Linked DNA regions of Daphnia pulex. The protein of the gene in region 2 binds, or shares a complex with, the protein of the main gene of each other region. Links are inferred from orthologs where the notes say so. Each region holds a gene or a part of one and is shown on either strand. Other genes may lie near its edges.

Region 1 (3,754 bases), on a different chromosome or scaffold from region 2:
ACGTAACGTCGACCAAATGTCTGACGGAATTGAGAATCTTGAGAAAAAGTAACGTGATTTCCTACAAAGGCCTAAATAAAAAATAAATGTTGAATTTTAACGGGTATAAAATGACACAGAACCTTACGATAATACCGTTAGAGCAACAAAAGCACGATGAATGTGTTCCACGAGAGCCCCTTCAATAAATTTGACCGAACCGTGTGGCTGATTATCGTTATTCCAGGAATCACGCCAGCCTTGTAGTTCACTTGTCCATTTGATAACAAGAGCGTCGGCTGTTCGATGTGAAATTATTCGAGCAATTTCAGTAATGAGAGTGAAGCTCCATTGCTTATCCACCAGTAATAGTCGCTGAACGGCCAATAGACGACGATGAAATTTATCCAAAGCCGCAACTACTGACAAACAGCAGGCTTCACTTATCTCGAATCCGATGATTTCGACAATTTTACTTTCCACTACAGGGACGAAAAGGAAATTTTATGACATGAGCTAATTTCTAGGGTGAAATATATAGCTCCTTACCTATTGGGCAAAGTTGATTAATAACATCCGTGGCCATGCTATTCATCCCCCTGTTAATTCAACGTATTATGATGAAAACGCAAAAAATTTAAACCATAAAATCAATAAAAAGTAAAACATACTCATTATGTTTCGATATGGTTGAAGGGAAAATGTTGTTGAAGGTTGCAATGGTAAGAGCAACGTTATTCAATGCTGTATTGCAGCATTTTTCAATGAATATGAGGACCACTTCTCCATTATTTTCACCAGACCACACATATGAGGATAGATCTTCCAAATCTTTTTCTAACCTCACTTTATTGATTTCAAGAAATTCTCTTGCAAGGTCAGTGGAAGATTCACCTAGTTTGCATAAAAGAGATGCAGATTCTTCTAGTTCCTGGGAAGTTACCTATGAATTCCATGAACATGTCATGTAAAATTCCACAATAGACATTTTGGTTAGTTTCTTATTATCTTACTTTCCAACATAATATTTTTTTTACAGCTTACCTCAGCTCTGCTGAATTGCACCTTTAGGCATTTCCTGAGTGTTTCAACAATTTCTTTGCAATCTGATTGGATTCCACTAAAAGAAGGATGATCTCCAAAATCTTGAAGAACTTGCTCAGATTTTGCATAATACTTAACAGCCTAAACAAGAAACATTATAGTTTAATACAGGAAATATAGACAGATAATGTCAATGAAACAAACCAATGAATAATTCTTTTCTTCTACACATGTTTTCAGCTTGTTGGGAAGATCAAACAAAAATTGCAAATTTTTTAGCAGTTCGTGAATGTTTGAAAGCTTTGTTATTTGTTGGCGCCGATCCTAAAAAGACAGGGTCATTATTATTAAAAATTTAATCAACTCTAAACTCAAATATTTCACCAACCTGTAAATTTGAAGATATATTGTTGGCAAATGTTGCAATATGAGACATGTCTTGAACTAACTTCTCCATTTCATCTTCCATAGTTTTGAAATCACTTTTCATTTGGCGGATGGTATCAGTGGCAAGGATAAATTTATTATAATTTTCATAAACCAAAGTTTGCATTTCTGAATCAAGTGATTGAATTTCACGAACAAGTTCCTGTTCTTTATCTATAAGTTGCTTTAAGCTGGTTTCCTATTGAAAAACATCCAAGCACATAAAAGTTTTATTTTATTATTTGGCAAAATAAGAAATAGAATATGATTACCTGAACCAGTTTGTCAACATAGGCATCAGCATTAAAGTGCTTTCCATCCACGTCAAAAAGGTTTTCTACATCCTTTTCTTCTGTTATCCCATAGTATTGAGAAAGAAGATTGTTTCTTTTTCTTTTATCGTTTTCATTTAGTTCTTTACTCATTTTGACGTTTTTCATTGGCACTGTTCACCAACTGATTAGTGATTACACATACCGCACATACATTTCTTTAGTTGTAACCACAGACTAAGAGGGTAAAGACCACGAACGGCTATAAACCCCTTGAAGCGATGCTCGTCCTATGCCGTATGGTGGCGCGTCGAGCACACAAAACGAAAGCCATTATTTTTCCTCTTTCCCTACTGATTAGAGTCTTCACACACCGTAAGTTTATAATTGAACCATTAACATATCAATAGTGATGTTTTGTGTAAATATAGCTTAGATATCTCCCATGTTGTGGGAATTTTTTTAAATTTCTATGTGATGTCTAGATACAATCCATAAATTCCTTTATTAAACCCCCTTTTTGCCCATTTTCAGGCCCAGGAAACAGCGTTTCAAGATTTTCTGAAATGGGCCTGAAAATCGTGAAACGCTGTTTCCTGGGCCTGAAAATGGGCAAAAAGGGGGTTTAATAAAGGAATTTATAGATTGTATCTAGACATCACATAGAAATTTAAAAAAATTCCCACAACATGGGAGATATCTAAGCTATATTTACACAAAACATCACTATTGATATGTTAATGGTTTAATTATAAACTTACGGTGTGTGAAGACTCTAATCAGTAGGGAAAGAGGAAAAATAATGGCTTTCGTTTTGTGTGCTCGACGCGCCACCATACGGCATAGGACGAGCATCGCTTCAAGCATCCCTCTTTAGCCCTATCCCTGATCGTAGTCTTTACCCTCTTAGTCTGTGGTTGTAACTGCAAATCGAATGGTTGGGGATTGGATAGCGTTAATGTAAGTTTTTGACGTTTCGCGAGCTGATGTCAGAATGTCTTAACGCTTCAAGTCTCAAACCGCCAACCCAAGGCATAAAAATAACAGGTAAGAAATTATGACAGGCCGGCTTGCTTTAGGTTTTGGATATGCAGTCTGCAGAGAGCTGCTGGCTGATTAGCTCATTACATTACACAATAATACCACCACACTAACAGCTGACCCCACCTTATCTGCTGCCCTCTATGTACTGATACTAAACTCAAAATATTTTCATATCAGCCAATAAAAATGAAAGACCCAGACTGTAGCAGACATCGCTACAGATATCAGATTATGCTAGCGTGAGCAAGAACGAGCGGTGTTTACTTTCTTCCGTTCGGTCATTCGATCGTTTTATTAAATCATTCGTCAGACATTTTTTTTTGTGTATTTTCAAGATGCTTGCATTTTGACTTCTATAGCCACATGTCAATGCGTACGTTTAATTCTGGTGAGTCATATATAAATCATGGAAATCAACTTTTGGAAGCTTTTGGCTTTTGAATTAACTTAAAAATTTGGAAACGTTATATTATTAGGAACGACGTCAGTCATCAAATAGTCTACACAACTACAAAACGCTAAACAATGGCTTCGCAAGGAAAAATAACATCACTGAGTGGTTAGTATGAGACGCTGTTTAAATTTTTTTATAGAAAAAAGTTGGTTTATCTTCAGCAATAATTAACCTAGCTTGAATAAATTGGTGGAACCCGTTTTGCAACTAATGGGTTATATATATATAATATAAGTAATTTCCTGCAAAATTTCTACAGATTCCAGTTCAGATGATGATAGTTACAGACCTCCTTTGAAAAAACCAAACACACAGTATTATAATAATACAGGAGAAGTTAACTCAAGAAAGAAACTAAATGACATTGAAACATGTGAACGTAGCACTGTCATTGTTAGCCCATCCAAAAGTAATGCTGATGGAGGATATGGGTTTAATGCACCATCCAGTAGTCAAGATTCTGATTCTAGTGATGATGATCAGCCTATCATGCCTTCTGTACATAAAACACTCATCAAACCTAAATCTGCTGCTG
Region 2 (3,754 bases):
GACTGCTGTAGTCTCTGTCTATCATCTTCAGTTACCACAACCTGCAATATCAAAAATGATTCAGTCATTTGTTTAAATGATGTCCGAAAAGAAAAATACCTCTTCTTGACGGCTTGTTTCCGTGGCAAGTACAAGGGCCATGATGTCATGAATGGCACGAATGCGGTTGAGCAGAGCTTTCAAACTTGTCATACATCGCTGCATCAAATTGGTCCATGACACAAAGTTTAAATGCTTGAGCTGCTCGTAGAGCATAGAACCTCTTTCAACGTCGGTGTCGTTGGCTGCAAGAGCTTCTACAATAGTTTGTTTCATCAAGGCTTTCATGGCGGTCAATCCTTCATCTAAAATGGAAAAATGATTATCAGTCACATCGGCACTAGCAAAAAGTGCATCAAGCAGTACCTTTAAATAATTCAATGAAGTTATAACGCCTCTGTCGTAACATGCCGTAGAGAACAGCAGTCAATCTATCTTCTTCTGTAACTAATACATCTTCTTTGAGGGGTCGATTAAGTTCGGCGGTAGTGAGGCGTTCAAACTCGTTTGAAAGCAAATTTTCGATAAGATTCTCCATTTCTTTCAACTGCGAGCTCAGATAACGGAAACAGTGAATGCTCATCAGTTCTTGTTGTACGACCTCTTGTGTGGTCCCAATAAGATCCAACGCGCCGACGAAATCAGAAGTAGAGAGGAGAAGCTGTATAGTCGGCTGGGTTTGATGCACAGTCGCCATTAGTTTTAGTTTACGATAAACAATTGCATAATTCTGTCGAGCAACTTGCCGTTGTAATACTGAGAGGAATTAAAGAAAAATGGAATAAATTCAATAATTAGATTAATGATATTGAACACACCTTTCAACGACCCCTGAACATGCGTAGCATCAACATGATTGACTTTGAGTCTTAAGGCTTTAACCGCCGTCAGCGCTTTGCCTAATTCCTCCCGTACGGCATCATGCGAAGCAACAGCCTGGAAGAAGTCTTCCGATTTATGGGAAATTTGATGAGCTATTTGCATCTCTATCAAGTCCAAATAATAGCTCAGTTTTTCTTGGAGTGTTTTCCCCGTTCCCAAAACGTGCGATAATCCTGACTCTTTGATGAAGGGGAAAACTTTGTGAAAGGTATCTGGTTGGCTTAGGTTAAATGTAGGCTGCAAGAAAGTTTGTGGAATAACACTCAAGTCACCCTCATTTCCATCTGTTCAAAACAAAAAGTTTGGTTAAAATATTTCTTCAAATAAAAGGATTTACTGAATTAATTGGATTACCAATGGGTTTCAGTGTTGATCTTGTTGTAATTTGTTCAGTTGCTAATGTTACACTGGACTTTTTCGAAGACTTTTTGTATCTTTTGGAAATTTTCTTAAGGTATGGTGTGAAATAAGCTTCATCAACAATGGGTAGTAGGAGACTTTCAGGAATAGTAGTGTTTTCTACAAATCCATCCCCCCATGTTCTAGTAAAGAAATCCTTCTGTTTCCCTTTTTTTGGATCATTTAAAATTGCTGCCATGTTTTGGCAAGCTGCATTGACATTCCAAGCTGGCCCATCTGACAGCAAGCTTAATCTATAGAGATGCCCTTGAAGCGGAGAAGGTGTCATCCCACACAAAATGCCTGTGTAGCACATAACAGTTTATTAAATTGTTATCACATTTATAATGCAGAAAATGTACCTGCATCTTTTCCATCCTGTGTTTTAGCATGGTGTTTCATTACATGGTCTTCGTAGTCTCTATCGCTCACCCCTTCAACTGGTAATGATGTACATACTCCATTATAGCCATACCGACAAACAAATGAGCCACCTTCCTGACTACAATGATCATCTCTCAAGTGTCTAAGATTTATTACAAAACAAGGTTAGAAATAAAAGTACTTAATTATAACTTGCTGAAATGAATTGTATTGTACCTTGTAAATTCTGCTGATGTTTTGAATATTTTGTTAAGACAATAACTACAACTTCTCCATGTTGGTGAATTACTCCCACTCGATAATAAGCTTATAGAGTCGGTGTTTGTTTTTGAAACGGCCATAACAGATTGAGTGCTGAAGAAAGTACACGGAAGTGAAACTTGATCAATCGATTTACTTCAATCAAAACGTAAACCACCGGCATTTGTGAACCATAATTAATTTAATCTCCTTGAAGAATTCAACAGAAATTTCTCTTAAGAAATAAGGGAAACCTATTTAACAATAAAAAATAACCTTTTTGATCGTTTAATATTTTTCTGTCGTCAGCATTTGCCAACAGGCCAAGGTTGATGCTAACCGACATCCAAACCTTCGCTGTCTATTCGAGTGTTTCCGGGCACCGAGTCCACCATTAGCAATAAAATCAATCAGAATAGTGTGAAACTTTTATGAAAATGTTTCGTGTTTATTATATATGATAATCGTCTGGATATACAAGAGGTTGCAGCATGAAAATTCAATGAAAAACGTTAACTTGACTCATGATAGAATCAAGGGCGGAAAAGCATTTTTTCCTCCGAATTACAGTCAAACAAATTAATAAAAAAAAGGGCTTGCACAACGGCGCATAAAACGTGAGAGAATAGTTATAAAAAACTATTGCAGTCCGAAAGGAATCAGGATACAGATGTTCTGTGTCAAAACTAGTAAAACCGTCGCATGGTGAAATTTACAACTGACAAAATTGCGAGTTTTCTTCAACGGCACAGCTAATTGGCAAGTTCTTCAGTTCTTAAAAGAAAAAGAAACATTAAAAAAGCGAACAAGATTTTAAAGAATAATAATTTAAAAAAAAACCCGAAGAGATGATCTTTTTAAATTCAACCAAGTCACCTGATATTGCATGCAGCATCAATTTTCGTGGGCGGTATGCGGTTACTCCGATGCTTTTCAGATCATCATCAGACAGTGTAGTGAACATGGCCAGATCCACCTCATTTGCAAGAAATAGTTCTAATTTTAAAGCAATTTAATAGGACATATGATATTTGAGATTTTAAAATTTTTCGATTGTTCATCATAATATTCCAACTAACCACAATATTCGAATAGATCTGATTCTTTCAGCATCTGGCATAGTTGGCGATATGAGTTTTTGTCAAATTTTAAAGTGCAGGCCGGCATCTTCACACTTTCGTCTGTGAAGTAAACAACACACGTGAAAACCAAATGAGATAAAAAAAAATTTCAAATTATTAAGAAATAGTCTCGAAGATGACCCACTAGATGGTAGCAAAGGTTTTGAGTGTGCTCTTTGACCGCCCGATTGGTAAACCTCTTCAGTGGTTTCACGGAAGCGAGGTTGTTGTATAACAGTTCGACTCCCAACTGCTGGAACTTCAAAGGATCAAGTCGAAGGATAGAATTTTTCCACCTCATTATTAGTTAGACCCTAAAATACTTAAAAATGTAAACTCCTTACGAAAAGTACGTTCGGGTTCTTGAACTCTGGGTAAGCTGAGCGGGAATCCGATGGGGGATAGTCCGTTGGGATTGGGAAGACGTAGGATTTGTCTCCGGAATTCATAAATGTTGCCTGTAGACCAACAGTCACAAACTAAATGATGGGAGACTGGGCTAACGGTTGTGTAGCATACATACCTGCATTCTTTTCGTAACTGATGATCTGAAGCAGAAAGCTGCTCGGTTTGGTGCTCGGTTCCATCTTGACCGCCACGTCCAAACGTTTAGCCAACTTTCGCTCGTTGACACCAAAGGTCAAATGAATAGCATGGACATGAAACATCAGCTTCATAGGAAGAAATTC

The links. Proteins that work in one complex are often made in the same cells at the same time.
Region 1: vacuolar protein sorting-associated protein 54-like (region 2) and vacuolar protein sorting-associated protein 51 homolog share a complex: the UniProt entries of both Homo sapiens proteins name them as parts of the golgi-associated retrograde protein (GARP) complex. The link is inferred for Daphnia pulex from reciprocal best matches to the Homo sapiens genes VPS54 and VPS51.

Annotation. Positions count from the first base shown.
Region 1 is NC_060021.1:636,305-640,058, forward strand, and holds the start of vacuolar protein sorting-associated protein 51 homolog, read right to left. Parts: upstream 2,843-3,754; 5' UTR 2,646-2,842; intron 1,953-2,645; 5' UTR 1,890-1,952; coding exon 1,722-1,889; intron 1,649-1,721; coding exon 1,412-1,648; intron 1,348-1,411; coding exon 1,228-1,347; intron 1,165-1,227; coding exon 1,024-1,164; intron 923-1,023; coding exon 651-922; intron 579-650; coding exon 529-578; intron 462-528; coding exon 136-461; intron 72-135; coding exon 1-71. Other genes in the region: cap-specific mRNA (nucleoside-2'-O-)-methyltransferase 1-like, read left to right, coding at 3,291-3,324, 3,479-3,754. UniProt on the Homo sapiens protein: Acts as a component of the GARP complex that is involved in retrograde transport from early and late endosomes to the trans-Golgi network (TGN).
Region 2 is NC_060017.1:2,978,514-2,982,267, forward strand, and holds the start of vacuolar protein sorting-associated protein 54-like, read right to left. Parts: upstream 2,327-3,754; 5' UTR 2,221-2,326; exon of another isoform or gene 2,155-2,220; 5' UTR 2,046-2,154; coding exon 1,921-2,045; intron 1,847-1,920; coding exon 1,683-1,846; intron 1,624-1,682; coding exon 1,276-1,623; intron 1,206-1,275; coding exon 858-1,205; intron 796-857; coding exon 406-795; intron 345-405; coding exon 100-344; intron 42-99; coding exon 1-41. Other genes in the region: protein bicaudal C-like, read right to left, coding at 2,657-2,718, 2,821-2,940, 3,024-3,125, 3,211-3,324, 3,410-3,523, 3,589-3,754. UniProt on the Homo sapiens protein: Acts as a component of the GARP complex that is involved in retrograde transport from early and late endosomes to the trans-Golgi network (TGN).